Anolis sagrei: one gene and its partners. The protein of the gene in region 1 purifies or fractionates together with the protein of each later gene. This does not show direct contact. Links are inferred from orthologs where the notes say so. Each region holds a gene or a part of one and is shown in the gene's direction. Other genes may lie near its edges. The genes, in order: TXNDC9, tubulin alpha-1C chain and TUBA1A.

The links.
Region 2: the proteins of TXNDC9 (region 1) and tubulin alpha-1C chain purify together in Homo sapiens (co-immunoprecipitation; 3 studies listed by BioGRID and IntAct, counting the BioPlex papers as one, with this or other methods). This does not show direct contact. The link is inferred for Anolis sagrei from reciprocal best matches to the Homo sapiens genes TXNDC9 and TUBA1C.
Region 3: the proteins of TXNDC9 (region 1) and TUBA1A purify together in Homo sapiens (affinity purification with mass spectrometry; 3 studies listed by BioGRID and IntAct, counting the BioPlex papers as one, with this or other methods). This does not show direct contact. The link is inferred for Anolis sagrei from reciprocal best matches to the Homo sapiens genes TXNDC9 and TUBA1A.

Annotation. Positions count from the first base shown.
Region 1 is NC_090023.1:102,691,872-102,702,298, reverse strand, and holds the start of TXNDC9 (thioredoxin domain-containing protein 9), read left to right. Parts: upstream 1-6,378; 5' UTR 6,379-6,611; intron 6,612-7,882; 5' UTR 7,883-7,915; coding exon 7,916-8,092; intron 8,093-9,391; coding exon 9,392-9,510; intron 9,511-10,427. UniProt on the Homo sapiens protein: Significantly diminishes the chaperonin TCP1 complex ATPase activity, thus negatively impacts protein folding, including that of actin or tubulin.
Region 2 is NC_090022.1:145,731,036-145,741,320, reverse strand, and holds the start of tubulin alpha-1C chain, read left to right. Parts: upstream 1-5,913; 5' UTR 5,914-6,066; coding exon 6,067-6,069; intron 6,070-10,285. UniProt on the Homo sapiens protein: Tubulin is the major constituent of microtubules, a cylinder consisting of laterally associated linear protofilaments composed of alpha- and beta-tubulin heterodimers.
Region 3 is NC_090022.1:145,790,799-145,801,586, forward strand, and holds the start of TUBA1A (tubulin alpha-1A chain), read left to right. Parts: upstream 1-6,367; 5' UTR 6,368-6,511; coding exon 6,512-6,514; intron 6,515-10,108; coding exon 10,109-10,331; intron 10,332-10,788. UniProt on the Homo sapiens protein: Tubulin is the major constituent of microtubules, a cylinder consisting of laterally associated linear protofilaments composed of alpha- and beta-tubulin heterodimers.

The DNA of each region.
Region 1 (10,427 bases):
ACGACGACGCGGAAGAGCAGGAGGCGGCAGACAGAGAGAACGCGCGCCCCCTCTGGCCGGAAGAGGAACAGCGCGGCGCGTGGAAAATCCAGGAAGTACACGACAGTCGTAGAATTGGAACAGTGATTCCCAACCTTTTTTTGACCAGGGACCACTTGAGCAGGGACCACTCTCCAACATTAGTACCAAAAGAGGTTACGAATCAGTTTTATGGTCAACTTTAGAGTCTGTTTGGTTATTTGGGGTGGTGATTCAGACAATTGCATTGGATAGACCACATCAGCTCTAGTTTCTGATACAGAAGATATGCCATCCAGTAGTCGCCATCTACTCGCCCGTAGAAAATCATACAGCCTCAGAACTGTAAGAGGGTTTTGCAAAAGCAGCCTTTGTTGCAACGGTGTAGTAACGGTGATGCTGCGGACCATATTTTAGTTCTTGCAGACCACTGGTGGACCTTGGACCACAGGTTGGGAACCACTGAATTGGAAGAGGCCATATGGGTCAATCCGGTCCAGCCCCCTGCCACGCATAAAGACTCAATCAAAGCCCCCCAATAGATGGCCATCCATCTGTCCCCCCGTAATGTCCACCTTTCATAAGGACCTGAAACCCCAGATGTTTAAACAAGCTTTTGAAAAGGCCTAGTCCCTAGTTGTTCTGTGCAATTGTTATGCACTCTTGCACTACATCCCATGCCCTCCTCCCATGGCTGTACCTTTGCACTTCTCCCATTCCCTTGCTCGTTGTTTACCCTCTGGTAATGGTTACAGTAGCTTACCACCAGAAGTGCATCTTTTTAAAATGAGTTTTAAATTGTTTTATATGCTTGTTTGTTTTATTTAATTGCATTTTATATTGTGTTTCATTTTATACTGTTTTAAGGCACTTTTGTGCTGTGTGTAAGCCACCTCAAGTCACTTTGGGAAGATGGTAGTGGGACACAAGAATAAAGTTATTCTATTGTTATTATCCAGCCCCTGCTTAAAAACCACCACATTCTGTGGGTCTAAGGGCACAAGAGTTCTCCCCTATAAATGGAGGACTCCAAATAAAGAAATTGCCTTTTTTTGTCCCGAGGAGAACACCTCTCTAGGAATGTCTTTGTTTATATGGAGGAAGTTGGCCACAGAGTCACAGTGGAGGACCTAAAGATTCCTAGAAATAATTCTTCTTGGTACTGGGTTGCTTTGGGTTTTCCGGGCTGTATGGCCATGGCCCAGAAGCATTCTCTCCTGACATTTCACCATAGATGTGGTGAAAGGTCAGGAGAGACTGCTTCTGGAACATGGCCATACAGCCCCGAAAACTCACAGCAACTCAGTGATTCTGGCCATGAAAGCCTTTGACAACACATCTTCTTGGTACTGTTCAATTATCCTGGCGGAGACCACTAGGGGGCACTAGAGAGATAATTATAGCCCATTTTATGGGGAGAGAGTTGGAAGAGGAAAACCATTTCCCCTGTTTTTGCTGGTTTTTCCCTCTCCCCCGTCCCATATCATAAATAAGGGTTGTTTCCACAACAGAGACATGGGTGATGGGAATAACAGGAACACAAGGAGAAATGGTTTTCCTCCTTCAACCCACCCTCCACCCCCATAAAATTTATTATCCTTCTCTAGTGCCCCCAAGTGCCTGGGTAATGGAACACTACCCTTGTGACGATGTGTAACTTCTATTCTTATGGTTATGTGTTGTTTAAACAGTAGTTAATAAATTGTAAGTATGTAGGATTATATTTTGTTAGAGATGGTGGCTAGTGGCTTGAACTGAGTTGCCATAGCAACGGGGGCGGAGCCAACTATCACTTCACGGCGCAGCTTTTTGAAAGTGGCAGTCTGTAGCCGGTGTGCTACAGGGAAAACTGAATCTCTGGGTGGAGATTCAGGGAATTAATTTGTGACCAAAGGGGTTACAAAAAAGGACCCGGTAGTGATAAAGCTACAGGGGGTTATTGATTCTGGATTAAGAATCAAGGTTTGGCTGTGAGCCAATTCTATTGAATAGGCCTTTTGGCTTATTTGTTTTGTTGGGACAGTTGTCCAGGAAAAATACTTCTGCGTATAGAAACCTCTTGAAGTCTGTGCCTTAGGTTACTCATGAAACCTTACTAATGTAACCAGTCAAGATTCGTGCCTCTTGTGAAGAAACAATCAAATCTGATATACCTTGCTTGTTCTAATAAAATTGTTACTGTTCTCCTCAAGCCTTGCCTGATACAGTTTCTCCTAAGTTGAACAGCCTGCAATAGTAAAGTCAAGCCAGGAAAGTAAACGCTACACTATCAAATAAATAAAGCCTTCTGTAATTAACAGTCCCTTTATGAAATAGCTCCTAGGTTGATATTGATCGTTGCCTGGCTTCCCTCATAGATTAGGTGGCAGTGGGTGTTTTACCACTCACACCTTCACATTCGGTGGCATTCGGTGGCATTAAAACGGTCTTCTTCACAATTGGTGGCAGCAGTTTAACAACTTCTTCACAACCCTCTTCTTTAAATCAGATCCATAAGTGATCAAAACCACCAGTATGACAGAATGGCTGTAATATTATCTCTCCCCGTGTGTGTAATGTGTTGAAATAGTATATATAGATATCCCTTTGAAGTTGTTTTATGTTTTTGAATTGTTGACACATTATGACACATTATAAACTGCATTAATTCTTCGGTGTAGCTGTACCTTCAAAATGATCTATGATGTCCCTAAATTAAGAGACAAAGTCACAGTGCAACTTTCCATTACAGGAGAAACTAAATTTGTGATACAGGAGAAACTAAATTTGATTGCAGAGATAGCTGCAATCAAATCATGGCAGAAATATCAAAAGAGGCCCAGGTGAAGGCAGGAAAGAAAGCATGGTGTTAAAGCCAGGAAAGAGAACATAATATTAAAGGCAGGGAGCTGGTTGCCTTTGGGTTTATAAAGCATTGAAGTCCATTTAATCATACAGGCTTGTCAGCTTTTGCCCTAAATGCATTCCCAACTGGAAAAACAAACTGAGATACCAAGAAAGAACTCAGTTTGCATCTACTAATTTGTGGGGATCCTTTAATTAAAATGCACTGGAGCACTGAAATGGGTTATATTTCTACATTAACTATAGGGTCTCATTTCCAAGTATTTCTTACACTTTACAGCCGAAGGTGACTTAAAGAGAGGCCTTTTAACATAGGAAACAAACAACAGAGATGTATTTGATAATCCTTCCAAGTACACTGGCTCCTGCATATAACTGGGGTTATTGCCATTTCAGGGTGCATCTACACTGTAGAATTAAGGCAGTTTGGAATTACAAGCGCCCCACCCCCACCCCACCCAAATATTTATAGACAATCATGAGACTAAACAAGTTAGATGACATTTCCTTTTTATTAAAACACTAGCCATCCCCTGCCACACATTGCTGTGGCCCTGTCTTTGTATAAGTGTTTTGTGTGTGTATATATTTGTGTATATGTGTATATGTGTATATATGTGGTTTTGCACATGCATTGTAATGTATTATTTATTATTTGGCTTTTTAAGTCTCTTCCACTGTGTTTTTCAGTGTTTTTATGAGTGATGGTCACTCGTTGGCCTGAGAGGTGTTTTGTGTCCAAATTGGGTGTCGATTCGTCTAGTGGTTTTTGAGTTATGATAAGCCCACAAACGAACATTTGTTGTTGTTCATTCGTTCAGTCGTCTCCGACTCTTTGTGACCTCATGGACCAGCCCACGCCAGAACTCCCTGTCAGCTGTCACCACCCCCAGCTCCTTCAAGGTCAGTCCAGTCACTTCAAGGATGCCATCCATCTATCTTGCCCTTGGTCGGCCCCTCTTCCTTTTACCTTCCACTTTCCCCAGCATAATTGTCTTCTCTAGGCTTTGCTGTCTCCTCATGATGTGGCCAAAGTACTTCAACTTTGTCTCTAGTATCCTTCCCTCCAGTGAGCAGTCGGGCTTTATTTCCTGGAGGATGGACTGGTTGGATCTTCTCACAGTCCAAGGCACTCTCAGAACTTTCCTCCAACACCACAGCTCAAAAGCATCTATCTTCCTTCGCTCAGCCTTCCCTAAGGTCCAGCTCTCACATCCGTAGGTGACTACAGGGAATACCATGGCTTTGACTAGGCGGATCTTTGTTGCCAGTGTGATGTCTCTACTCTTTACTATTTTATCGAGATTGGACATTGCTCTCCTCCCAAGAAGTAAGCATCTTCTGATTTCCTGGCCACAGTCTGCATCTGCAGTAATCTTTGCACCTAGAAATACAAAGTCTGTCACAGCCTCCACAATTTCTCCCTCTATTTTCCAGTTGTCAATCATTCTTGTTGCCATAATCTTGGTTTTTTTTATGTTTAGCTGCAACCCGGCTTTTGCGCTTTCTTCTTTCACCTTGATTAGAAGGCTCCTCAGCTCCTCCTCGCTTTCGGCCATCAGAGTGGTGTCATCTGCATATCTGAGGTTGTTAATGTTTCTTCCAGCAATTTTCACCCCAGCTTTGCATTCATCCAGCCCCGCACATCGCATGATGTGTTCTGCATACACGTTAAAAAGGTTGGGTGAGAGTATTACATTACATTTTTATTTATATAGATTTTCCACAGTTCCCGAGTTGCAAAATACTAAAGCACTAGAACTGACGTAACTGCAGCTGAACCTTACAAACCCTATTAGATCTAACCCATCAATGAATGTTAAACTTGAGATTTTATGTGTAACTTGTATCTTTTATGTACTGTGTCAATTTCTACAAGTATAAATTATATCAGATGAAGTGTTTCAAAATGTATCCATGCCTTCAGTTTTCACAATCTCTTGGAAAAGGAAACCACAGCCAGGGTGGTTTCCTAAACCAGATAAATATTAAAATCCTTTGTCTGTGTGTGTGTGTGTGTGTATGCAGACCTCTTTGTCACCAGGGTAACCAGGGTAAGATCCTCTTTGTCACCAGGGTAAGCTCGGGATGTTTCTTTGTTTAGCTTGAAGCAGACAGTCCACCTCTCCCACAGAAGAGGGGGCTCAGTAAATATTACTCTAGTAACTCTGAATGGGAACAGCCAAAAGCCTTGATTCTCTGTGGTCGTCACTTTTGTGGGTCTTGCACACTTTGTCTCACATGGAACTGGACACTTGACTTAACCAGGGACTCATCAGCATACCCACATCATCATTTCCTCCTGGATTGTGCCCTCCCAAGTGGTGTCCCTACAACAGACTAACTCTTTAAACCAGGGGTCCACAAACTTTTTAAACAGAGGGCCAGGTCACAGTCCCTCAAACTATTGGAGGGCTGGATTATAATTTGAAAAAACATGCATGAATTCCTATGCATACTGCACATATCTTATTTGTATTGCAAAAACACTTTAAAACAATACAATAATTAAAATTAAGAACAGTTTTAACAAATATAAACTTATTAGTATTTCAATGGGAAGTGTGGGCCTGCTTTTGGCTGATGAGATAGGATTGTTGTTTGCTTTCAAATCGTTTCAGACTTAGGTTGACCCTGAGCGAGGGCCGGGTAAATGACCTTAGAGGGCCGTATCCAGCCCCTGGGCCTTAGTTTGAGGACCCCTGCTTTAAACTGAGTAACTTCCAGCTCTCTTTCTTCCCACCACAAGAATCCCCACCTGTAGGCTGTGACATCAAGAGAACTCTTGGCTAATCTGAGTGTGGATCCTAGCCTGCCTCTTTTTCCAGCCAATCAGGGGAGGGAGCAGAAAGTCTGAATATCTGTGAGAACTGTATAAGATGTCTTGTATTTTTCTGTAAATTTATGTTTGCACCTTTGGAAGCGCATTGCTTGTACTCGTTCCCTATTTGGCCACATTGTGATAAACCTCTGTAGCTTCGCCTTCAACCCACCACACTTTTGACAGGAATGGCTCAATGTTTTGTAATCCTGGGATCTGTAGTTTGACGAAGCACCATTACTGCCTGGTAGAGAAGGCTAAAGGCCTTGTCAAATTACAATCCCAGGATGCCATGGCAGTTCAGACGATGCCAAACTGCAGTCCTTCTAATCTACAGTATTGATGCACCCTTTGGAGTAGGCTGTTAGGAATTGTGGGAGTTGAAGTCCAAAACACCTGGAGGGCCCAAGTTGGCTCATGCCTGCTCTGGAGAGTCTGAATGTTGATGCCAAAGGTTTAGCTTTCAATGTCAGTAAAAGTGCTAATAATTTAATCAAGTTTTCACAAGCGACACGAATATCCAATAGTCTATTGTTCCTAGAGAGGAACCCTGTGGCTCTTTCTGAACTCCCAACTCCTTGTGAAGCGCAAGGCATTCTGGTCCTTGTAGTTTGCAGCGATGCGGAAGTCCTGGGAGCGGTTCCCTGGCGCATTGCATGCTGGTCCTTGCAGTCTCTCTCCCCCTACGTACGGTTGAAAAACAAAGCTTGGAAGAAGACGCAGGACGAGATTCTGGATCACGCATGCGCAATAAAGGCCAAGCCGCTTGACGACCAATTCGTGCGTCAGTCACCAAACGTCTTTAGGGCGCGTCAGGCAACGGCTCGGAGGCGTTTCGCCGGCTGGAGAGAGGAAGAGAGAGGCCTCCGCGGAACGAAGCCGTTTCAAGCCGCGTCCGCACTACTTCGGGCGTTTGGCCTGTACTGCGGTGAGTCACCAGGTCATGGCTTCCGAGGTGTTGCCCTGGATGGGCGCCCTGATCCGGTTTCGTCCCGGCTTTAGGCCCGGTCTTTGGGAAGAAGGTAGAAATGGGGGCCGTAGAAACCACCTTCTGGGCCTCCATCTACACTTGAACATAACGTAGTTTGAAACTGCATTATATGGTCACTCCATGCTCATATAATGCAGTTCAGTGCCGTTAAACTACATGAATCTATCCCAGGCAGGGCCCTCCCTCCAGGTGTTTTGGACTTCCACTCCCACAATCCCTAACAGCCTCAGGCCCTTTCCTTTTCTTCTCCTTTTCCCCCTCAGCTGCTTAAGCCTCCAAGGAAGAGACTTCCAACACACCGAGGCAAAGAGTTCCACTGCTGAACAATCAAGAAGTTCTTCCTAATGGGGGGGTCCAACTTGGGCCCTCCAGGTGTTTTGGAGTTCACCATTCCTAACAGATCCTTTCCTTTTCTTCTCCTTTTCCGCTTAAGCGTTTGAGGGGGGGGGGGAAGGAAACGCCCTGAGGCTGTTAGGAATTGTGGGTCTTGAAGTCCAAAACACTTGGAGGACCCAAGTTGACCCATGCCTGATCTATACTGACCATATAAAGCCGTTTCAAAAAGCAATGTGGACGTGCCCAGAGTTGCAGCCCCTTCCTCTGAGTCTTATTCATTCCTCTTAATTGGCTACAACAACTTCTTTTAATTCAAGATTTTTCTGCATAGTGTGCTTTGCCATTAGCACACAGCTCTAGGCTCAAAGCAACGTGACGTTTTCATGCTATTTGGATATTTTCCTTGTGTCTCGCTAGTTATTTACTGATTTGGAAAGACATCATTAGACATACACATTGTCAGAGTTTGATGAAGCTCATCAAATAGATTAGTAAGGTCAAGGTTTCCCTTGGCATTAGCAGTTCGAAAATATGCAAATGTGAGTAAATCAATAGGTACCACTCCAGCGGGAAGGTAGCAGCGTCCCATGCAGTCATGCTGGCTACATGTCCTTGGAGGTGTCTATGGACAATGCCAGCTCTTTGGCTTAGAAATGGAGATGAACACCACCCCCCAGAGTTGGAAATGACTAGACTTAATGTGAAGGGGAAACCTTTACCTTAACTTTAGAATAAACTGGTACAATCAAATTTTCAAAAGATAACAAAAAGCTTGAATTAATCCTGTGTCTTGGTCATTAGTGAATGTGAATGAAGGTCTAATTTCATTTCATGGTGTCTAGCTCTGACTTAAAAACCTACTCTTTTTCCAGATTTAATGTTTCTGTAGTCTATGTAAAGGAGAAATGGCTGCAGACATGTTTTCAAAAGCTCTGGAGGCTCAGATGCTTCAGACAGCTAAGATTGTAGAAGAGCAACTGGATGCTGAGATTCAAAAACTTGATGAAGTGGATGAAGATGAACTGGAAATCCTAAAGCAAAGAAGGCTTGAAGCACTGAAAAAAGCCCAGCAACAGAAACAAGTAAGCAAGGATTTTAGGAAACTATTTGAAAGTAATACCAACATTAGTAGGGACTTTTGTATGACAGAGGGTGCCAGACTTTGGTATGTTACAGACATTACTTGAAAAATGTCCAAATAAAAGAAGGCATGATGTGTACACCAGAGCTCGCTGTATAGGTGGAAAACCTCTTTTCCAGAATTCCAAAACCAAGAATCCTCTAAAATCCAAAACTGTCCACACAGGGGACTAAGATTTTGATGTTACTTTTTGATGATTCAATGTACACAAAGTTTGTTTCATGCACAAAATTGTTAAAATATTGTGTATAAAATTATCTTCAGGATAAGCATATAAGAAACATAAACATGTTTCATGTTTAGATCTGGGTCCCATCTGCAAGGTATTTAATTATGTACATATATGTAAATTTTCAAAAGAAAATTCAAAACACTTCTGTTCCCAAGCATTTTGGGTAAAGGATACTCAACCTGTATGTCAACGTTTTAGCCAAAAATCTGAAACTTTTTCAAGGCTGTCTTACTGGGGGGGGGGGGGGGGGACTGGCTGGTGGGAATCCTGTGGTGCTGCCCTATAACTCCCAATAGATGCAGTCAGCATAGGCAAAAGTAGGGAATACTGGCATCTGCAGTCCAACAAACTGCACTGTCACAAGATTCTCACCTTTAAACTAAAACCTACATTCATTTTCCTGGTAAGTTGGGATTGCTATAAACAGACATTCTGTGTTGTTGTAAGGACTCCCCCCACCACCACCTCGCATCTTGTTGGTCTTTGGGGTGCTAGAAGATCCCATGTTTTCTGCTCCAACACACCAACTGCATTCTCTCACTTGACTCATTTATTAGTTACTGAAAACAGTATTTTAACATTAGATTGAAAGCTGACATTTCCTGAAATGAATTACTCACTGATAAAAAGGTCTGAAAATCAGGCAGTTTTATATCTGATGTAAACAATATGTAAGGGTGAAATATCTTTCATACTTTTTCTTTAGAACAGAGCTCGTTGGGTAAAGTTCATAGGACTGAACTGCCAAATAAAACATGCATAAGTTGGCATTAGGAGCCTACATCTTAGATGTCAGCCCCGACTCTTAAATGTATTTGTCCTTTTAGAATTGATGCCTTACTAATCTTAGATATAAATTGAGAGAAGGAAGCATGCAGCACTCTGCATGATTCATAGAATTGGGCTTCTTATGACTAGTATACTTATTTTTTAAAATCAGGGGATGCTATTTGTCTCATTCCATAAATAATGCGTAGAAATGTTATGCTAACTGGTTGTATTAAATAGGAGTGGCTTTCAAAAGGACATGGAGAATACCGGGAAGTCCCCAGTGAGAGAGACTTTTTTCAGGAAGTGAAAGGAAGCAAAAATGTGGTTTGCCACTTTTACAGAGATACCACTTACAGGTATAGTATGTGCCTTGTGGCATTTTATAGTATAAAATGCTTAGTAAAAGAGATTATCAATTGAAGATATTGCAGATAGGTTGTGGAAATGCCATTTTCTTAGAACTAATTACCTAATCTGGTGCCCTTTTTTGGCTAGTAATTAAACCTCAATTTGAATTTCTGTGCATTTACATTATTATTATTATTATTATTATTATTATTATTATTATTAATAGACCCTATCTCCCCGAGGGGACTCAAAGCAGTTTACACACAAAAGAAAGGCAAACATTCAATGCCCTTTATTTATTTCTCGTGTCAGGGCAGCCAGTCAATTATATTACATTTCTAACAGAACAAAGCAAACAATGCCCTGAAACAAATACAAACACCTCAAAAATACAAAAGAATAACAATAAACATGACAAACTTTGTAAGATATATGCATGCTCTTGCTTTCTTGACCCCTACTTACTTGATCCCTGCTGGTTATCCAGGGAGGAGATGCAATTAGATTTCAGATACAACAAATTTTCAGTGCATCTCTCAGGAAAGGGAATTTTCCATCCTGTTTAAAAGAAGAAGTAGTTAGACTGCTACTGAAAAAGCCCTTCCTGGATCTTAATAATTACAGACCAGTGTCTATTCTCCCTTTTTTGGGCAAGGCGATTGAAAAGGCAATTGCTCTCCAGTTCCTGGTAGTCTTGGGCCCCTTCCACACAGCTGAATAAAACCCCCATTTTCTGTATTGAACTGGAATATATGGCAGTGTGGACTCAGACAACCCAGTTCAAAGCTGATATTGTGGGATTTTCTGCCTTGATATTCTGGGTTATATGGCTATGTGGAAGGGCTCTTGGATGACAAAAATGTCATTGACCAATTTCAGACAGGCTTCAGAGCAAGATGCGAACTTGAGATGGCTGTGGTCTCCT
Region 2 (10,285 bases), on another chromosome or scaffold:
TTGATAAAAGGGAATTATTCAGATAGGAGGGATCCTCCTGAATACCTTTGAGCATGTGTGGTTCCCATATTTACGTCCATGGTCTGGTGCTTGGATATCACAGGACAGCAGGGATGTGGCCAAAGAGGGATGAGGTGCGCAGCCCCAAAAGAAGAATTTTGCTGCCCACTTAAATTTTTCTGCGTTCCCAGAATGTTTAGCACTGTGGAAAATGAGGTGCTGAAAATAATCCTTACCTTTGAAGATGCCAGCCACAGATGCAGGCAAAACAACAGGAGAAAATGCTGCTAGAAAACGCCATACAGCCTGGAAACCATACAACACCCCAGTGATTCTGGCTGTGAAAGCCTTTGACAAGACATTAATTCTCACCTCAAATCCTGGAGTGGAGCCACGGTGGCATAATGGGTTAAACCCTTGTGGCTACTGAACTGCTGACCTGAAGGTGGGTGGTTCGAATCCATGAGACTGGGTGAGATCCCGTCTGTCAGCCCCAGCTTCCCATGCGGGGACATGAAATAAGCCTTCCACAGGATAGTAACGCATCCAGGCATCCTCTGGGCAATGTCCTTGCAGATGGCCAATTCTCTCACACCAGAAGCAGCTTGCAGTGTATTCTTGGGTTGCTTCCGACACAATTAAAAACAAAGCCTAAAAAACATAAAATTAAAACAGGGCAAATAAAAATTAAAACAGTGTACAACCAACATCATAAGCAATAATAAAACAGACATCATAAGCAACAACCAGAAATACTTCTAGTCTCATTTTGGAGGGGGGGAGGGGGGCTGGTGTACAAACAAGGTGGAGAATAGGCTGGTCAAAAAGATGGATAGAATATATCACAGCATAAGAATAGAGCAGTTGTAATAGGATCCCTCAGTTCTTGTGGGTTTTTTCGGGCTATATGGCCATGTTCTAGAGGCATTTCTCCTGACGTTTCGCCTGCATCTATGGCAAGCATCCTCAGAGGTCTGTTGGAATTAGGACAAATGGGTTTATATATCTGTGGAATGGCTGGGGTGGGGCAAGGAGCTCTTCCCTGCTGCAATTAGGTGTGAGTGTTTGGCTAATCACCTTCATTAGCATTTGAAGGCCTGCTTGAACCTGGGAAAACCTGTTGCTGGGAGGTGTTAATCTGTGCCTGGTTTCTTCCTCTCTGTTGTTTAGCTGTTATAATTTTAGAGTTTTTTAATACTGGGAGCCAGATTTTGTTCATTTTCATGGTCTCTTCCTTTCTGTTGAAATTGTCCACATGCTTGTGGATTTCAATGGCTTCTCTGTGTAGTCTGACATGGTGGTTGTTGGTGTGGTCCAGCATTTCTGTGTTTTCAAATAATATGCTGTGTCCAGGCTGGTTCATCAGGTGCTCTGCTATGGCTGACTTCTCTGGTTGAAGTAGTCTGCAGTGCCTTTCATGTTCCTTGATGCGTGTCTGGGCGCTGCGTTTGGTGGTCCCTATGTAGACTTGTCCACAGCTGCATGGTATACGGTAGACTCCTGCAGAGGTGAGAGGATCCCTCTTGTCCTTTGCTGAACGTAGCATTTGTTGGATTTTCTTGGTGGGTTTGTAGATAGTTTGTATGTTGTGTTTCCTCATCAGCTTCCCTATGCGGTCAGTGGTTCCCTTGATGTATGGCAGGAACACTTTTCCTCTGGGTGGATCATCATCTTTACTCTCGTGGTTTGTTCTTGGTCTTGCAGCTCTTCTGATGTCTGAGATGGAATATCCATTGGCCTGGAGAGCCCAGTTGAGGTGGTTCAGTTCATCTTGGAGGAGGTGGGGTTCGCAGATTCTTTTTGCACGGTCTGCCAAGGCTTTGATGGTGCTTCTTTTTTGACTTGGGTGATGGTTGGAGTTTTTATGTAGATATCTATCTGTGTGTGTGGGTTTTCTGTAGACGGTGTGACCCAATTGTTGATCTGGTTTGCGGATGACTAGGACATCTAGAAAAGGTAGTCTTCCTTCATTTTCTTTTTCCATGGTGAACTGGATGTTTGGGTGGATGCTGTTAAGATGGTCCAGGAACCTGTTGAGTTCTTCATCTCCATGGCTCCAAATGGTGAAGGTGTCATCCACATATCTGAACCATATCGTGGGCTTTTTGGTTGCTGTCTCCAGGGCTTGTTCTTCAAAGTGTTCCATGTAGAAGTTAGCTATGACTGGGCTGAGAGGGCTCCCCTGAGATGGAGTAGCTATGGGGAGCCCTCTCAGCCCAGTCATAGCTCCCCATAGCTACTCCATCTCAGGGGAGCCCTCTCAGCCCAGTCATAGCTAACTTCTACATGGAACACTTTGAAGAACAAGCCCTGGAGACAGCAACCAAAAAGCCCACGATATGGTTCAGATATGTGGATGACACCTTCACCATTTGGAGCCATGGAGATGAAGAACTCAACAGGTTCCTGGACCATCTTAACAGCATCCACCCAAACATCCAGTTCACCATGGAAAAAGAAAATGAAGGAAGACTACCTTTTCTAGATGTCCTAGTCATCCGCAAACCAGATCAACAATTGGGTCACACCGTCTACAGAAAACCCACACACACAGATAGATATCTACATAAAAACTCCAACCATCACCCAAGTCAAAAAAGAAGCACCATCAAAGCCTTGGCAGACCGTGCAAAAAGAATCTGCGAACCCCACCTCCTCCAAGATGAACTGAACCACCTCAACTGGGCTCTCCAGGCCAATGGATATTCCATCTCAGACATCAGAAGAGCTGCAAGACCAAGAACAAACCACGAGAGTAAAGATGATGATCCACCCAGAGGAAAAGTGTTCCTGCCATACATCAAGGGAACCACTGACCGCATAGGGAAGCTGATGAGGAAACACAACATACAAACTATCTACAAACCCACCAAGAAAATCCAACAAATGCTACGTTCAGCAAAGGACAAGAGGGATCCTCTCACCTCTGCAGGAGTCTACCGTATACCATGCAGCTGTGGACAAGTCTACATAGGGACCACCAAACGCAGCGCCCAGACACGCATCAAGGAACATGAAAGGCACTGCAGACTACTTCAACCAGAGAAGTCAGCCATAGCAGAGCACCTGATGAACCAGCCTGGACACAGCATATTATTTGAAAACACAGAAATGCTGGACCACACCAACAACCACCATGTCAGACTACACAGAGAAGCCATTGAAATCCACAAGCATGTGGACAATTTCAACAGAAAGGAAGAGACCATGAAAATGAACAAAATCTGGCTCCCAGTATTAAAAAACTCTAAAATTATAACAGCTAAACAACAGAGAGGAAGAAACCAGGCACAGATTAACACCTCCCAGCAACAGGTTTTCCCAGGTTCAAGCAGGCCTTCAAATGCTAATGAAGGTGATTAGCCAAACACTCACACCTAATTGCAGCAGGGAAGAGCTCCTTGCCCCACCCCAGCCATTCCACAGATATATAAACCCATTTGTCCTAATTCCAACAGACCTCTGAGGATGCTTGCCATAGATGCAGGCGAAACGTCAGGAGAAATGCCTCTAGAACATGGCCATATAGCCCGAAAAAACCCACAAGAACTGAGTGATTCCGGCCATGAAAGCCTTCGACAATGTAATAGGATCCTTTTAGCTTAAAAATACAGTAATCAAATACAGGAACTTGATTTTTGGCCATGGTTAGGGACCATCTGTCAAAGGGATCGTCAGTGGAACATCCATGTCTTTAATTCCTTACAAAATGTGGATTGGGAGGGTGCTAACCTCATCTCCCTAGGGAGGAAGTTCCAGAGATGAGGGGCCACCACCGAGAATGCCCTTTCTCTCATCCCCACCAACCGCGCCTGAGATGGGGGTGGGAGTGAGAGAAGAGCATCCCCAGAAGTTCTTAGAAACCATGTGGGCTCGTAGAGGAGCATGCGGTCACGAAGATAGGCAGGTCCTGAACTGTTTTGAGTTTTATAGGTAATAACCTGCACCTTGAATTGGGACTGGAAACTTATTGGCAGCCAGGGAGCTGCAGGGGGGGGGGGGGTTGACTTGCAATCTGGTCGCTGACCTTTGCACTAACTGTAGTTTCCGAACCATCTTCAAGGGCAGCCCAAGGTAGAGTGCATTACAGTAGTCCAATTTTGAGGTAACTAAGGCGTGGACCACCATGGTCAAGTCAGACTTCTCGAGGTATAGTTGCAGCTGGCACACAAACTTTAACTGTGTGAAGGCTCTCCCAGCCACCGCCAATACCTTAGCATCAAGTGTCAGTGCTGAATCCAGGAGGACCCCCAAACTGTGGACCTGTGTCTTCCAGGGGAGTGTAACCCCGTCAAACACAAGTTGCCACCCTATACCCCGTTCAGCCAAGAGACTGATTTGGAGGACATCTGTCTTGTCAAGATTCAACTTCAGCTTGTTGGCCCCCATCCAGCCCATCACAGTGGCCAGGCACTGGTCCAGGATCCGAGGCAATCTTCTGCCCTCCAGGAGTTTTGAACTTCAACTCCCACCATTCCTAAAAGCCTCAGGGAAAAGGAAAAGGCCTGAGGCTGTTAGGAATGGTGGGAGTTGAAGTTCAAAACACTTGGAGGGAGGGCCCAAGTTGGACTTGGCCTGCTCTAAAGTCTCCACAGAAGGCAGGCTCATTGGTTCTGCCCTCAGCCTTGGCACAGGGGTCTCGTTGGCTTTTGGAGGGGCCACCACAAACAAACCCCTTCCTTCCCTTTCTTTGCGTGTGTGTCAGAAATGCAAGCAGAGCAGCCCTGCTCTCTCTCTCTCTCTCTCTCTCTCTGGGGAATGTGCTGTGATGGCATTTTGGGAGAAGAAACAGCCCAAACAGCCCCTTTCAGCCAGCTCCTCCTCCTTCTTCCACTGTGCTCACCATTTTTTCCCTCCTCAAAGACAAAGAAAGAGCGTTATACTGGGTTGTTTTGAGTTTTCCAGAAGCATTCTCTCCTGACGTTTCGCCTGCATCTATGGCAGGCATCCTCAGAGGTTGTGGAAAATGGGGTCATGGAAAGCCTTCGACAATACAGTGTTTATATTCCCGCCCTATTTTCTTTTGAAGCTTTTCTTTTGATGGAAATAACCCGGAAGTAGCGACTGAACGAATAAACAACATACACAACTAGGGAAAAAAATCCGGTTTCTGCCTCCCGCAGAATGCTGGGGTTTGTAGTTTAGGGAGGAGCCTTTAACAGCCTCCTTAAACTACAAACCCCAGAATTCTGCAGGAGGCAGAAACCGGATTTAAAGTGGATTCATTCTCAAGTGTGAAGTAGATGTGGAAAGTTTGTATCCTTCAAGAAAACCCCAAGACTCAGCTAAGGCTGCATCTACACTGAGGAGTTAACGCAGTTTGGCAACACTTTTAAAGTGTCCTGGCTCAATGCTTGGGAGCTGTAGTTTCTCAAGAGGAGAACTGGTGTTTCCCTCAAACGATGGTGTCTCCTGGAGATTCCGTCTGAACATTAGGAAGAACTTCCTGACTGTGAGAGCTGTTCAGCAGTGGAACTCTCTGCCTCGGAGTGTGGTAGAGGCTCCTTCTTTGGAAGCTTTTAAACAGAGGCTGGATGGTCATCTGTCGGGAGTGCTTTGAATGCAATTTTCCTACTTCTTGGCAGGGGGTTGGACTGCATGGCCCATGAGTTCTCTTCCAACTCTATGATTCTATGATAACTCTGGATTCCATCGCAATTTAAAAGCGCTACCAAACTGGGTTAATTCTACAGTGTGGATGGCCGCTTGGCTCACTGCCTGTCTCAAGGACCGCCCCACATTCAGGACTATTCGAGTTAAGATATTAAGGCAACCCCCTCCCCAGAGGAAAATTCGAACCCGCCAATTAGAGACAAGGGATTTTTGAAAAAAGGGAGGGGAGGGGGAGGGGAAATGCCTGTCTGCTGTAGCCCCGCCCCCGAGGCACAAAGCCCCGCCCACGCGGTTATAAAAGGCCGCGCCTTAGTCGTGGACGGGACCAGATCAGAAGTTCCTGCTCACTGGAGGCTCCCTTGACGAGTCGGTCAGTGAGGAAGACTTTCGCCTTCCTGACTTCCTTCTTCCTTTTCCGGCTTCTGTCTCTTAAACCTAAGCTCGCCCAGAAACATGGTAAGTGAGTGAGTGAAAGAGCCACACTTGGGGAAAGGAGACCCTTCGGCAGAGGAAGAGGGAAAAGTTCTGGAGAACTCTCAGGGTTGGGGAGCATTCAGCCAGAGCCGCTCAAGGGGTGCCAAACCGCCTTAATTCGACGGTGTGGATGTGCCCCTTTTCTTCTTCCTGCTCCTGGAGCTTCCCCAGAATATGTAGCAGTGCCTCTCCAGGTCGAGAAGGAAGGAAACTCCTTCTGCCGAACTTAGTCGCCATTTCTCCCTGCACACGTGTCTCGTGGCGTGGTCGGAAGGGACATGGTGGGAGTCGAAGTTCAAAATACATGGAGGGCAGAAGACTAAAGTGGTCAAGGGTCTGGAGAACAAGCCCTATGAAGAGCGGCTTAAAGACCTTGGGCATGTTTAGCCTGAAAAATAGAAGGCTAAGGGGAGACATGATATCCATGAATAAATATGTGAGGGGAAGTCATAGGGAGGAGCGAGCGAGCTTGTTTTCTGCTGCCCTGGAACAATGGCTCCAAACTACAAGAAAGGAGATTCCATCTGAACATTAAGAAGAACTTCCATACTGTTCAGCAGTGGAACTCTCTGCCTTGGAGTGTGGTAGAGGCTCCTTTGTTGGAAACTTTCAAACAGAGGCTGGATGGCCATCTGTTGGGGGTGCTTTGAATGCAATTTTCCTACTTCTTGGCAGGGTGACTGGATGGCCCATGAGGTCTCTTCCAACTCTATGATTCTATCTAGGGCAGGACCTGATTGGCAGGGCTTCAGAGTCTCAGGAGACAGATATAGCACGACTTTTGTTCCTGGGTTAGAAATGTAACTTCCTAATTGGTGTTATCATAAAAACATGGGGAAAGTTTATTAAAACTGCAATAACTTCATTTTGGCGGGACATCCTGCTGTACATTTTACTATAATTTTCCCATGAATATCTCATCTATTCAGCCTAGTCTGTGGCAGCCGCAAAACTCAAGTTTCTGGAGTGTAACAACTCCTTTCAAAGTAAATTCTGCACAATTAAACAGGAAATAACACTTGCAAAGCAGGGATAACTTTTTTCAAATTCTGTTACATAGTAGTGTTATTTGGGCAGGGTGCCCAGATCACGCCTAGCTGCTTTGTGGAGTTGGCTCTTCCCAAATGAGCTGCTCCTTTGTTTAGCTATGCTTAAGCGGATGAGGGGGAAAAGGAAAGGGCCTGAGGCTGTGAGGAATGGTGGGAGTTGAAGTCCAAAACACCTAGAGGGCCCAAGTTTGCCCATGCCTGATCTACACTATAGAATGAATGCAGCTTGACGCCACTTTCACTTCTATAACTCAGTGCAGTGGGATCCGGGAAATGTAGTTTGTCAAGTACTGTATCCTTCTCTGCTAAAGAATGATAGCGCCTCGTCCCCAAAGTAAAACTCCCAGGATCCCATATCATTGAGCCATGGTAGTCAAAGGCGTGTCTATACTGCATTCCTTCTCCAGTGTGGATGTACTCTTGCGCTCTCTCCTGGCAGTTTTTGCAGGAAGTAAATGAGAAGCGGAAGCTTTAGGCTTTCTGTATCTGCCAGAGTTTCGTTCCAGGATCTTCAGATCCACGGCTGCTCTAGTCCTATAGTCAGATATCTCTTCAAAGTACTGTATATCCCACCAGACTTTGGGACTCCTTCAGTGTGATAAAGAGTGAAATAATGTTCCTTAATCTAAAATTACAAAAAATAAAAAATGCCTTTTGGAATTAATTTATGTTCAAATACTTTAACCCTGGAATGGGCAAACTTCACCCCCTCAGGAGTTTTGGACTTCAAGTCCCATAATTCCTAACGGCCTATAGGCTGTTAGGAGTTGTGTGAGTTGGAGTCCAAGACATCTGGAGGGTCAAAGTTTGCCTGTGCCTTCTTTAAGTCAAGGATGGTTTTGTCCATGGTGCTGAGGACTGACTTTATATAAAGATGAGTGGAGAGAATAATTCGTAATGGTGAGTGCACAAGAAGGGCAGAGACTTCCAAGTGGAGCCATTCCAAAGCGTTTGACTTCCTGAGGCAAAATGATGCTCGTACCTATGACCCAGAGCCCCTGGTGGCGCAGTGGGTGAAACCGCTGAACTGCTGAGCTTGTTGACCAAAAGGTCGCAGGTTTGAATCCAGGGAGTGGCGTGAGCTTCCACTGTCAGCCACAGCTTCTGCAAATATGAGTAGATCAATAGGTACCGCTTCTGCGGGAAGGTAACTGTGCTCCATGCAGTCATGCCAGCCACATGTCCCTTGAAGTGTCTACGGACAATACCAGCTCTTTGGCTTAGAAATGAAGATGAGCACCAACTCCTAGAGTCGGACACAACTTAACTCGGGGGAAAACCTTCACCTTATCTATATCCCAGTTCAGGGAGCACCACTAGCCTGAGGCCACTGGGCAGTGCCAGATGTACCATTGTGCTTAAGCACAGGGTCCCATTGGTGGCGTGGGGGTGGGGAGGGGATCATCTTCCTGCACGATATTTTTTTTCCTTGTGTGGTGCAATTTGAAATTTGAAGGCTTTGTGTTTTGGAGGAATTTCAGAATTCCAGACTTCATATCTCCACGTGTTTTGGTCCTCAACAGTTGGTAGGCTGTTAGAAATTGTAGGAGTTGAAGTCCAAAATACCTGGAGGGCCAAAGTTTGCCCGTGCCTGATTTATAGTCTATGGGAGTGCGCCAGCAAGCAGGCAGTATAGACCTACTGGACTGACCTTTTTCAAGGCCCAAGGAAGGGGCCTCGTGACTAGCACAGGGCTTCATTTGTCCTAAACCCGGCACTGTCACTGAGTTGGCCAAGGCAGAGAATCTCATTATGCGTTGCCTGCTCACAGTGTCTGTGGATCTTTTCATAAATGTTATTCCCCAAATTAGTTCACTCTTGTCTGGTGGGGGAGCAGAAAAAATGCTAGTGGGAGATAGGGCCACGTTAACTTGCTTTGAGCGGCAGAATATGCCTTTCTCCTGGTTCCTGCATAGCAACCTGGTTGGTCACATCATCTTCCTGCCCTCCATTCCCGTTTGTGAATCATGTCCGCTGAGTCACTTTTCAGGGAAGGGGCCATTCAGAGGGGTGGCTCTGCCTCGGAGGGAGGAGACCCACCAACCCCAGAGCAGGCCTGAGAGGAGATGTGTGGAACGGCTCTTATTTCAAATATACCTCTTACTTCAGTTGAGCAAACTGCCTTGTGAAAATTTCCTTATACTCACCTTTTTTTTAAAAAAGTTGGTTGCCTATCCATGGGTTCACCATTTACAGATTCCACCACCAGCAGCCTTCAAAAATCCAAAACCAGACCTTGGTTTTGCCACTTTATATACAGGACACCATTTTACAATACTATTTGATCGAAGGTCCAGCCTTTTACCATGCCATTTTATATAATGGGATTTGCGCATCCTTGGATTTCAGTATCAGTGAGAGCCCTGGAACCAAACTCTGGCAAATATTACTGGGCTGCTGTGCATGTGGGGCATGCTTTAAGCCAGGCCTGAAACACAATAAATGTCTTGGGAGAGTGGGTTGAGCTCCCTCTGTCAGCTCCCCAAAGGGAAGCCTCCCACAAGGATGGTAAAACATCAAACATCCTTTTGTCCCCTGGGCAATGTCCTTGCAGATGGCCAATTCTCTCACACCAGAAGCAACTTGCAGTTTCTCAAGTCACTCCTGACACACAAAAAGTTGAAAGTGAAAGTGGCTCATTTTGAATAGCCTTGCTTCTGCAAAGATATTCCGTAAGGGATTCTATAGCAGAACATGACTTGAAGCTAGCTGTGAAGCAGCAGGGTGAAAGTTAAGAACAATTTCATGGATGTGCATCTCAGTGGAAAATGCAACTCTGAAGGATGGAATAGCTCTGTTGTATGACTCAGTGTGATAACAGGAGAGTGCTAAAGATGCAATTGAAACCTCCATTTTAAAAAGCATTATATTGCTTAATCACACAATCTTAAGTCGATTCTAAAAAATCTACCATGATTGAGAATGAAGTGGAATTTGCTATTTCAAAGTTGGGAGGATCATACATTCTGTAGAAGCCTATATAAAAATTTGCTGTTAAGACTACTGAAGTAGAAAATTTCCCGAGATCTCCCTCTGGGCTTTTCAGTGACATGCTATCGAATCATAAAGGGCAGTTACTACATGAGATGTGACTACTTCCATATGCTTGGTTTATACTTTGGATTCTATGCATTTCCAGAACATCATAT
Region 3 (10,788 bases), on another chromosome or scaffold:
TAGCCTTCAACCTTGGAACAAATTTTGGAGTGTGTCCATGTGCCTAAACATGCAACTGGCACAGTATGCCTATCAATACCAGTTGCCAAGTTATCAAGGGCAGGAGGATGCTGCACTACTTGCATCTTCCTTCTGGACTTCCAACTGGCCTCTGCAAAACATTGGCTAGAGGGAGCCCTTGGCTGATCCAATAGTTCTATTCCTATCTATGCTCATCATGTAATCCAGCCAAACCTTACACAACTGAAGTTGAGTTAGAACCTCCCATTCAGGATGGCATGATGTCCAAATTGTCACAATTATACATTTATAATAATACAATTGTTGTTGCTGTTGTTGTTTTTGTGTGTCGTCAAGTCATCTCTGACTTATGGTGACACCACCCTAAGGTTTTCTTGGTCTGATTTGTTCAGATGGAGCAGGACCAATGTTTTCACAGCATGACTTGCCCAAATCCATCCAGACAATTTCCATCGCCGGGCAGAGATCCCAACTCTGGTCTTCCACAGTCTTGCTCCACCACTCAGACTTGCTCCACCAAAAAATAGAACCAAGTATTTTTATATATCTCAGGAATTAGTATCTTTGGTCAATTTGAGAGCCCTTTTAGCTTCTGAATTCCTGCCACCTCCCCTATGCTGCCATATACTCCCAAAATTCAGGGATGCAGGAACAACCAGAAACAGAGGAATGCTTCCAGTTGCTAAAAGCACCCTTTCCTGTCAAAAGAAACTCAGGGAGCACACACCTTGTTTTGGAGGCAAACGGTTTCAGTGGGGACTTCTTTTCTAAAACAAGGCTCTGCTTGCAGTTTTTGAAGCTTTTGTAAGCTGTTTCAAAGAGACCATTGATTGAGAAAGGTGGGTTGGGAAAATGCTTTCATTATGATGAGATAAAAGACCTGCAACAAAAGGGACACTTTTACTATTTCTTCCTAATAGGAAGCTTTTTAAAAAGCTAGGACATCTGTTTTGAAAAATATTTGCAGCTCTCTTACAGACATCTGTCATGTGCCTGAACCACTTGCAAAAAGGCAAGTGTGGCCACACACTGGGACTTAAGACTTCATTCCACAATGAGCTCACTATCTTGGCATAGAAAGGCATTGCTGAGACTTTATACTGCCTTGGTAGTCTACATTAGTAACTATCACCAAGGATTAAATTTAGGGTGTATTCCACAGATCAAAAGATCAATTTTTATAGGTCTAAGAATAAAATCGGGGGCTGCGGTGGCACAGTGGGTTAAACCGCTGAGCTGCAGAACCTGCTGACCAGAAGGTGGAAGGTCAGTGATTCAAATCCGCAAGACAAGGTGAGCTCCTGTTGTTAGCCCCAGCTTTTTCCAACCTAGCAGTTCGAAAACATGCAAATGTGAGTAGATCAATAAGTACTGCTTTGGCGGGAAGCTAATGGCGCTCCATGCTGTCATGCCAGCCACATGACCTAGGAGGCATCTACGGACAACGCCGGCTCTTTGGGTTAGAAATGGAGATGAGCACCACCCCACAGAGTTGGACACAACTAGATTTAATGTCAAGGGGAAACCTTTACCTTTACTAAGACTAAAATAACAACAAAAGTAAGACATTTTTGTTGTAATCTGCTTCAATATCTTAACATGTTTATTTTTATTGGGTAGTGTTTAATTAGATCTTACTTCAAAGCTGAGTCTTTCTCTCTCTTAAAAGCCATGCTATAAACCAGAATTTAATTATTCTGATAACTTGTCCAATCTATGGCAAATCTCCTTTTCCCAGCTTCGCATCTCGACCTTGCTGGTAAAGAAGTGTGTAATGCCACTGCTCAGAAATACAGCTCATCATTCAGGGAGTGGTATAGGATATTGGATGTGAAGCACTGGAGAAGGCAAATGCAGCATTTTGCAGTACGAGGCGGGGAATCTATCACTGCTGTTGCACATTCTCTTTGTTCCCAGATAGAGTTAACCTATGCATATTTCAGTGGCTCCCAAGATGCAAATCTCCAGATTTGCTAATGTACAGCAATTGTGCCCAAACCAGGTGCTCATGCCAATTTGATCTATTTCATGTGTTTGTTGTAAGGGAGATTGGCTACAATTAAATATTAATGCTCACCTGGTACCAACTGAGAATCCTGGCGCAAATGACGCTCCTCCGCATACAGACCTGTTTTTATCACTAAACATCATCAAATACTTTAGGATATTTTTTGTTTTTAAAAAGAGGAAATCTACCAATGCACATTAAAAAATAAATATTTCAGACTAGACACCGACAATTTGCAGACCTTGGTCTAATTTCAAAAGCCCACGGGCAGATTCAGACCTCTGGCAAGAACAGTCTGTCCCTCCCTTGGCAACCCACTGGGGAAAGAAAAAGGGGAGAGAGGTGTAGGAAGGACACAAAGAAAGAAAGAGAGAGAGAGAGAGTTTCTTTAAGTCTTATGGTGACCAGTGCAATGTAGTAACACTAAAACAAGAGAAAGGGCAACTGACAGTCCATCAAAATAGTAATTGTCAGAAGCTGTGCTGAGGGAGGGGAGCAGAGACGCTAATGAACTGGTAAAAGATCAAAGTCAAGGCCCAACCTTTCCAATTAAGCAGGATATAATTCAAACAAATACACAAATAAATATATTGTGGTGTGCTCATAGGAAGAAGCAGAACCAGTTCTACCGTCAGGCACCCCCAAATTAGCAGTTCTGAGCTTTCACAAACTGCAACAAATTGTTAGGTATTTGGTTAGCCTGCTTGATGTCGAAACAACAAGGCTTCTTGACCAGAGGTGAGGAGGGAGAGCTTTGCTGCTCTGCCTCAGAATGCACCTACACTGTAGAATTAATGCAGTCTGGCACCATTTGGCTCCATGCCATGGAATTGTGGAAGTTGCAGTTTTACAAAGTCCTTAACCAAACTACAAGCCACAGGATTCCATAGCACAGAGTAATGGCACCTAAAGTGGGGCCGGGATGGCACAACAAGGTAAAAAACTCTTGAGCTGCTGAGCTTGCTAACTTGAAGGTTTGCAGTTCGAATCCAATAGACGGGGTGAGCTCCCACTATCAGCCTCAGCTTCTACCAACCTAGCAGTTCCAAAGCATGCAAATGTGAGTAGATCAATAGGTACTGCCTCAGCGGTTAGGTAAAAGGGTGCCCCACGAAATCATGCCGGCAACATGACCAGGACAACACAGGTTCCTCGGCTTGAAATGGAGTTGAGCATCTCCCCCGGAGCCAGAGACAAGCACTGCCTCCAGAGCTGGAGATGAAAGGGAAAGCCTTTGCCTTTGTCTGTGTATTTGTGTTTAATTATGTGTTTCAAAGGCACTGAATGTTTGCCTGTGTCTGTATATATGCTGGAATCCACTCTGAGTCCCCTAGGAGAGAATGGGCGAAATATAAATATATTATTATTATTATTATTATTATTATTATTATTATTATTATTGAGCCCCCGGTGGTGCAGTGGGTTAAACCCCTGTGCCAGCAGGACTGAAGACCAAGATGTCGCGGGTTCAAATCCAAGGAGAGGCGGATGAGCTCCCTCTATCAACTCCAGCTCCTCATGCGGGGACATGAGAGAAGCCTCCCATAAGGATGATAAAAACATCAAATCATCCGCCTGTCCCCTGGGCAACGTCCTTGCAGACAGCCAATTCTCTCACACCAGAAGTGACTTGCAATTTCTCAAGTTGCTCCTGGCATGAAAACATTATTATTATTATTATTATTATTATTATTATTATTATTATTATTATTAAACTGGATTGAATCCATAGCATAGAGCCAGCCTAAATGGGATTTATAATTTTGTGGGGCTCCAGCAGTCTCTGGCAGAGAAGGTGAAATGACACCTGCCATAATTCTATAGCATGGAGCTATAGCAGATAAAATGGTGTCAAACTGCATTAATTCTACATGCACTCACAGTCAGCAAAAGACATTGGTTCGGTACAGAATGGAGGCTGTCATTTTGCACAGAGGAATAACAGAACATAGTAAGGCAGGCTTAAATAAGATAGACTCGAGCAAATGGGTGTGATTGTAAAGGTTGGAAATATTCAGAAGATGGAGACAGGCAGGGAAGAAAGGAAGTGTTTGGGTCTCTCTTGGCAAAGAAAAAGAAGGCGCCAGGCCCGCCTTCTCCACCTGCTGCCTCTCTTTCCCTCCGCTCCCTTCCTCCTTCTGGCTTGCCAGACTAGTAGGAGGCAAGTAAGTGGTGGGAGGAAAGGCGGGAGAAGAGCCGGGAAAAATTGTGCTTGCTGGTGCTGAGAGAATAATTCACCGTTATGTGCCGTAACTGACTGGGGGTGCTTTGCGGGTATGCAGGCCACGCCTTGCCATACTAGCAAAAGAAAAGGATGAAACTCTGAGTGTGCTTTTGAAAACAGGTGCCAGTTTCTTTCCAGTTTCCATAGAATCAGAGCACTGGAAGGGAGCACAAGGCTCATCCAGTTCAACTCCATTCTATCATGATGGCACACCCAATCAAAGCACTCCCAGCAGATGGTCATAAACCTCCAGAGAAGGAAACTCCACCACACTCTGAGGCGGAATATTCCACTGTCAAACAGCTCTTACCACCAGAAAGCCCTTCATAAGGTTCAGGTGGCAACTCTTTTCCTGTCATGTGAAGCCCCTTCCACACAGCTGAATAATGTCCCACATTTTCTGCTTTGAACTGGAATATGTGGCAGTGTAGACTCAGATAACCCAGTTAAAAGCAGGTATCCTAATGTCATTTCCTAATTTGTGAAAAATTCATTCTCATATATGGCATCCACTATCATCGCATCATATACAAGATGCTGGGTCCCTCCACACAGCCCTATATGTGGCTGTTCCAGTGTGTCTTCCCAGAACAGGAATCTCCTAGCATCATGTCCCAAATGCACTTTATTACAGATTTAGATTGTCTGCACACCGCACTTATCTCCAAAAACCTACCCATTTCACCTGTCAGGTCCAGCATTTTTTAAATTTTTATTCATTACATTTGGCCCGGCCTCAGTTTTAAATGCGTTGTGGTGTTATTGTCTAATGTTTATTGCTATTGTTTTTAATGTTTATTGTTTTGCTTTATGAGTTATTTATTGTTGTATTCCTATGCTGTTGTTTTATTGATGTGTTGGGCCTTGGCCTCTTGTAAGCTGCACCGAGTCCTTCAGGAGATGTTAGCAGGGTATAAATAAAGGTTAATAATAATAATATCCCAGAATATCAAGGCAGAAAATCCTACGTTATCTGAGTGTGGATTCAGATAACACAGTTCAAAACAGATATTGTGGGATTTTCTGCCTTGATGTTCTGGGATATAGGGCTGCGTGGAAGGGCCCATATAGGACCCCTTTGTGACTTTTGGCATACCCAGTATATAGACTCACTTACACACACATATTATATTTACTTAATTCTAAGACACCTTTTCACCCATAGAAATCTAAAAATGGGATGCATCTTAGGGCCCTTCCACAGAGTCATATAAATCAGAGTATCAAGGCAGATCATCCACAATATCTGCTTTGAATGTGTTATCTGAGTCCACATTGTCATATAATCCAGTTTAAAGCAGATAATGTGGGACTATATACAGCTGTGTGGAAGGAGCCTTAGCTGCATCTTATGTATTTTTTGTGGGTAGTACTGAAATTAGTGTGTGTTTTACAATCAATAGTGTCTTAGAATCAAATAAACACACACACACACATATATACATATTTATTTATTTATTGTTTATTTATTTACTGCATTTCTATGCCCAAGGTGACTGAAAGTAGCTTACACTGGCACGATTCAATGCCACAATAAACATAAATAAAATTAAGACAATCAACACACATTACAACAAACCCTGTAAAAACATTAAAAGCATAAAACACCAGTTACGTCCTCTTAGCTCATTTTCCAAAGACATTTCCCATTTTGTCTTTGCTAGCAGGTGGATTTAAAGGCATGGCATGACCCTTTCCTGGGTCCCTGCAAAGAGGAGGGGTTGGGTCATAGTGATAAAGGGCTGGCATAGGCTTTACTATTTGTCCTGAGGAACAAACCCGCTTCTTCTCCCCCAAGTGCTCTACCCTCTTGCAAAACCCGTCCTTCCTCCCCCCTCCTTGCTCCCCGCCCGCCTGACCCCTCCTTTTGGCGCGCCCAAGGGGAGGATGATGGATGCCTGGTGATGATGATGATGGCGAGCCCTTCTTCGGCTTGGTCCCTTTGTCTGGAGGATGCAGACAGGCTTGGGATGCTGAGAAAGGAGGGGGCGGGGCGATGACCTCATCCTATGCGCCCTCAGCCAATCGCCTTCCTCCTCCCGTCCAGAGCGGGGGGCGCTTCGGCCAATCCCAGCCCGCCCCGGCCCGTCCCCATGGTGACGGGGTTGTATATAAGGGGCCCGCGTTGGCCCCGGCGCGACAGGTTCTCTTACATCGACCTCCTAAGAGTCGCGCTGTAAGAAAGGCCCCTCTTCCTCCCTTCTTCCCCGGGTTCCGCGCCTCCACGCTCCGCAGCAACAACAACAACAGCAGCAACCATGGTAAGACGCGCCCGCCGGGTGGGGGCTCCAAGGCCGCATCCACACAGCGGAATGGACGCAGTTTGGTACCACTTTCACCCTCAAGGCTGTGCAATCATGGGGAGAGGGGAGGGGAGGGGGGCTCCCTCCCCTTCCTTCCTCGATTCCTTTCCTTCCTCCCTTCTCCCAGGGTGCATCTCTTCTCCACTGTCCAATTCCTGCAGTCTGACCCCCTTTAGCTGCCTTGGCTCAATGCTATGCAGTCCTTGGTCATTTCACCAAAGCACAACCCCCAGGATGCCATCGCATTGCGCCAGGGCGGCTAAACCGCATTAGTTCTCCAGTGTAGACCCGCCCCAAACCTCTGCTTGGGAGGGAGGGAGGTGGCTGGACCAGCCTGAGAGACTGAACCGCATCGAAAAGGGCTTTGCTCCTTGCCATTCAATCCATTCCTTCTCTAAGCTCATGCCTTCCTGCCTCGGAAAACGCCAAAGGGAAATCCGATTGGGGGGCGTCTGGTGGGCTTTCCGAATCAGCAGGACGGCCATTGGGTTGTTGGGAGCCCCCTTGGTAGGATACGCCCTCTGATAGGTAGGTGGGACGTTTCTCCTTCCCAAGAAATGCATCCGGAGGTATTAGGATACGCCCCTGGGTGGCTGGACCTTTTGGGGTGGGGTCTCTTTCTCCTTCCCAATAAAGGCATTGCTATCCAGCCCCATATCCCAGAAGATCAAGGCAGAAAACCCCACAATATCTGCTTTCAACTGGGTAATCTGAGTCCACACTGTTTGGATTTTCTGCCTTGATATTCTGGGATATAGGGCTGTGTGGAAGGGCCCCAGGGTGGAGGTCTCTGTGTTGGGATGACTGTGTCAGTGGGAAGACAGGGAGGGAGGGGCCAGCATGGAGGAGCTGCTGAGAAAAAGCCTGGGGTCTCACCCAAGGAGGAGTGCCTGGACTGCCCAGCCCCTCTGCACGGTTCCATAGGGGTCAGTCCAGTGGGGCATGACCCTCCCTAGATAGGCACAGGGCTTGTCCTCTCATCTTTCAGGGCCCTTCCACACAGCCCTATATCCCAGAATATCAAGGCAGAAAATCCCACAGTATCTGCTTTGAACTGGATCTGAGTCCACACTATTGGGATTTTCTGCCTTGATATTCTGGGGTTTAGGGTTGTGTGAAAGGGCCTCTGAGGCGGGATTGCAGTGTCAGTGGGAAGACAGGGAGGGAGAGAGGAGGGAGGGGCCAGCATGGAGGAGCTGCTAAGAAAAAGCCTGGAGTCTCCTCCAAGGAGGGGCGCCTGGACTACTCACCCCTCTTTACTGTTCCATAGGGGTCAGTCCAACTGAATCCACTGGGACCTGACCCTCCCTAGATAGGCAAAGGGCTTGTCCTCTCCTCTCTCAGGGCCCTTCCACACAGCCCTATAGCCCAGAAGATCAAGGCAGGAAATCCCACATTATCTGAGTGTTGGACTCAGGGCCCTTCCACACAGCCATGTAACCCAGAATATCAAGGGAGGAAATCCCACCATATCTGCTTTGAACTGGGTTCTCCACACTCAGATAATGTGGGATTTTTTTGCCTTGATATTCTGGGATATAGGGCTGTGTGGAAGGGCCCCTTGTGTGGACTCAGACAACCCAGTTCAAAGCAGATATTGAGGGATTTTCTTCCTTGATATTCTGGGGTATAGGGCTATGTGGAAGGGTCCCCAGTTGTAGTGAATGGAGGAGAGGCTGCCTCATTGGAGAAGATGGGAAAGTGTGGGGGGGGGGGTTCCTAAGCCATGCCCTGGCTTTGCAGCATGGCTCCCATAAGGATAAAGAGGGGCCTTGTGAAAGGAAGCCCTGCAAAGGGGCCAGCTGGAGGGAGGATCACAGGGACAGAGCTTCCCCACTCCTTCCTTCCCTCCCTCCCTAGAGGCCAGATGCCTTGAGGCAAAGAGGTCCCTCCATGAATAGGAGGCAGGAGGGGATGGCTGACCCAGCAGACAAAGAGGGAGGCTCCCTTGGCAGATGTGACCCGAATGTAATTAAGCCACAGACAATGCTGCAGCCCAAATGTGTGGGGGTTTCTGCTTCCACCAAGCCCCTTCCACACCAGTCTGCTCTGTGCCCACCACTTTTTAGTCTGCAGCATTCTCAATGCATTAAAAGGAGATGGGAACAACTTCTTATAATTTTATTTTTCTTATGTTGTCCATATCAGACACGCGTCCCTAATATCAGAGCCAAAACAGACACTCGTCTCCATTCATCATCAGGCTTTCTTGCCATGAATTTGTCTCCCGATTCAATCCTCAGCACTGAATGATTTCATTTTCAAGCATGATCTCCTCTGAGGTCAGAGGAGGGAAAATAAGAAAAACAGCATAATGAGATCATGCTGGAAATAGACCCGGCTGTGTTAATCCATTGCGGATTGCAGCAGTCAGAGCCAACACAGGCAGCCAAACAATGAGGAGGAGCTTGTTCCTACCACGGAGTGTATCCCTAGTCTTCCTGGGCAGGGTGTGGCACAGGCGGGCTTCTCTCTCACCAAATGACATTATTCTGCAGTACAAGGAATGCAGAATGAGCAGGTTCCTGCAGGTGGGCACCTCCACCTGCAAAGTCAGCAGAAAAGCCCAGGGCAAAGTGGTCACAAATCTCTTTTGTTTTCTGGAAATGTGGTCTCTTCCTAGTCTGGGAGGCTAAACATTAATGAATAGTAATTTTGAGATCTACTGATGGAATAAATCAAGCAAAAGGAAATTTGGATCAGGAATGCAGTGATCACAGCTTTAGAGTAGTCAGGAACAAAGGGTGGGTGTGGCAGCCTGGCATTGAAAGGTATGATCCCACCACTAACTCACTACACTTGTCATTGGCTTACCTTACTTTAGCATTGAAGGCTTTGGTGGCTTCTCTCCACACATATTTTTATTTTTATCCTGATTTGAATGACATGATTTTGAACAATGAACTCATACAGATTGAACATCCCTTATCTCCTATTCCAATATAGTGACACCTTTGCTTTCTGATGGTTCAGCGTACATACACCATTCTTCACACACACATTTATTAAAATATTGCATATAAAATTAGCTTCAGAATATGAATATAAGGTGTATATGTAATAAAATGGATTTTGTGTTTAGACATGTTTCCCGTCTCCAAGATATGTCATTATGTATGGCAAGTGTTCCAAATTTTTTAAAAAAAATCCAAGAATACTCAACTTGTAGTAAGACTTGAACAACAGTGAACAGAAAAGTGAGAAATACCTTGGAATATCCAGAGATATTCCAAGACTTTGGGGAAACGCCCATCTCCAAGATACATCATTATGTCTGTGTATGCAAATACAGGTATACCAAGATTCAAAAAGTCTGGACCAAACACCTCCTGTGCTAAGCATTTCAGATAAGAGGGACTCAACATGAAACTGTTACATTTATCTGTCCTTTTTGCCTCGTGAGCATTCATCAGATGCTCTTAGGCACCTGAAATCTTTTTCCAAATGAAAGAAGTATAAGAAATTTCTGATATTTTTGCTTAATCAAAAAGACAGGTTGTTCAAAAAGTACTCGATTAAAAAAGTGCATTTATGCCATTTCCACACTTTTAGCGTGAATGCATCTCTATCCACGTTGGCCAAGCCGGAGTCCAGATTGGCAATGCCTGCTGGGAGCTCTACTGCCTGGAACATGGCATCCAGCCTGATGGGCAGATGCCCAGCGACAAGACCATTGGGGGAGGAGACGACTCCTTCAACACTTTCTTCAGTGAGACAGGAGCTGGCAAACACGTCCCCAGGGCTGTCTTTGTAGACTTGGAACCAACTGTGATTGGTGAGTGCAAACTCCATCTTCCCATGTACTAACAAATGTAGCCGTATAAAACTGATGACCTCTAGATATGGATGATTAGAGTTGTATTCCAAATACTGTGGGTGAGAAGAGTTGTATTCCAGATTCTCTGGGGGAAGGGGCACCAGGTTGGAGAAGGCTCAGACTCGTAAGACATCATCAATTTATAGATAAAAGAAGATTTACTCCTTTTACTTATCACATTACTATCTAACCTCATCTTATTTGTGTTTCATCCTCCCCACTTTATCCTCCCAACATAATTCTAAAAATGTTGCATTATAACTGCTTATAGATATCTCAGTGCATCTCTCTTTAAATTAAGAATCCTGATTTCCATAGACACCAGTTAAAACTATCAATATGAAGATCTAATAGTGTAATTGATATTTTTCATCATACACATATCTGATGGTGAAAACAAAACGAATAATATGTC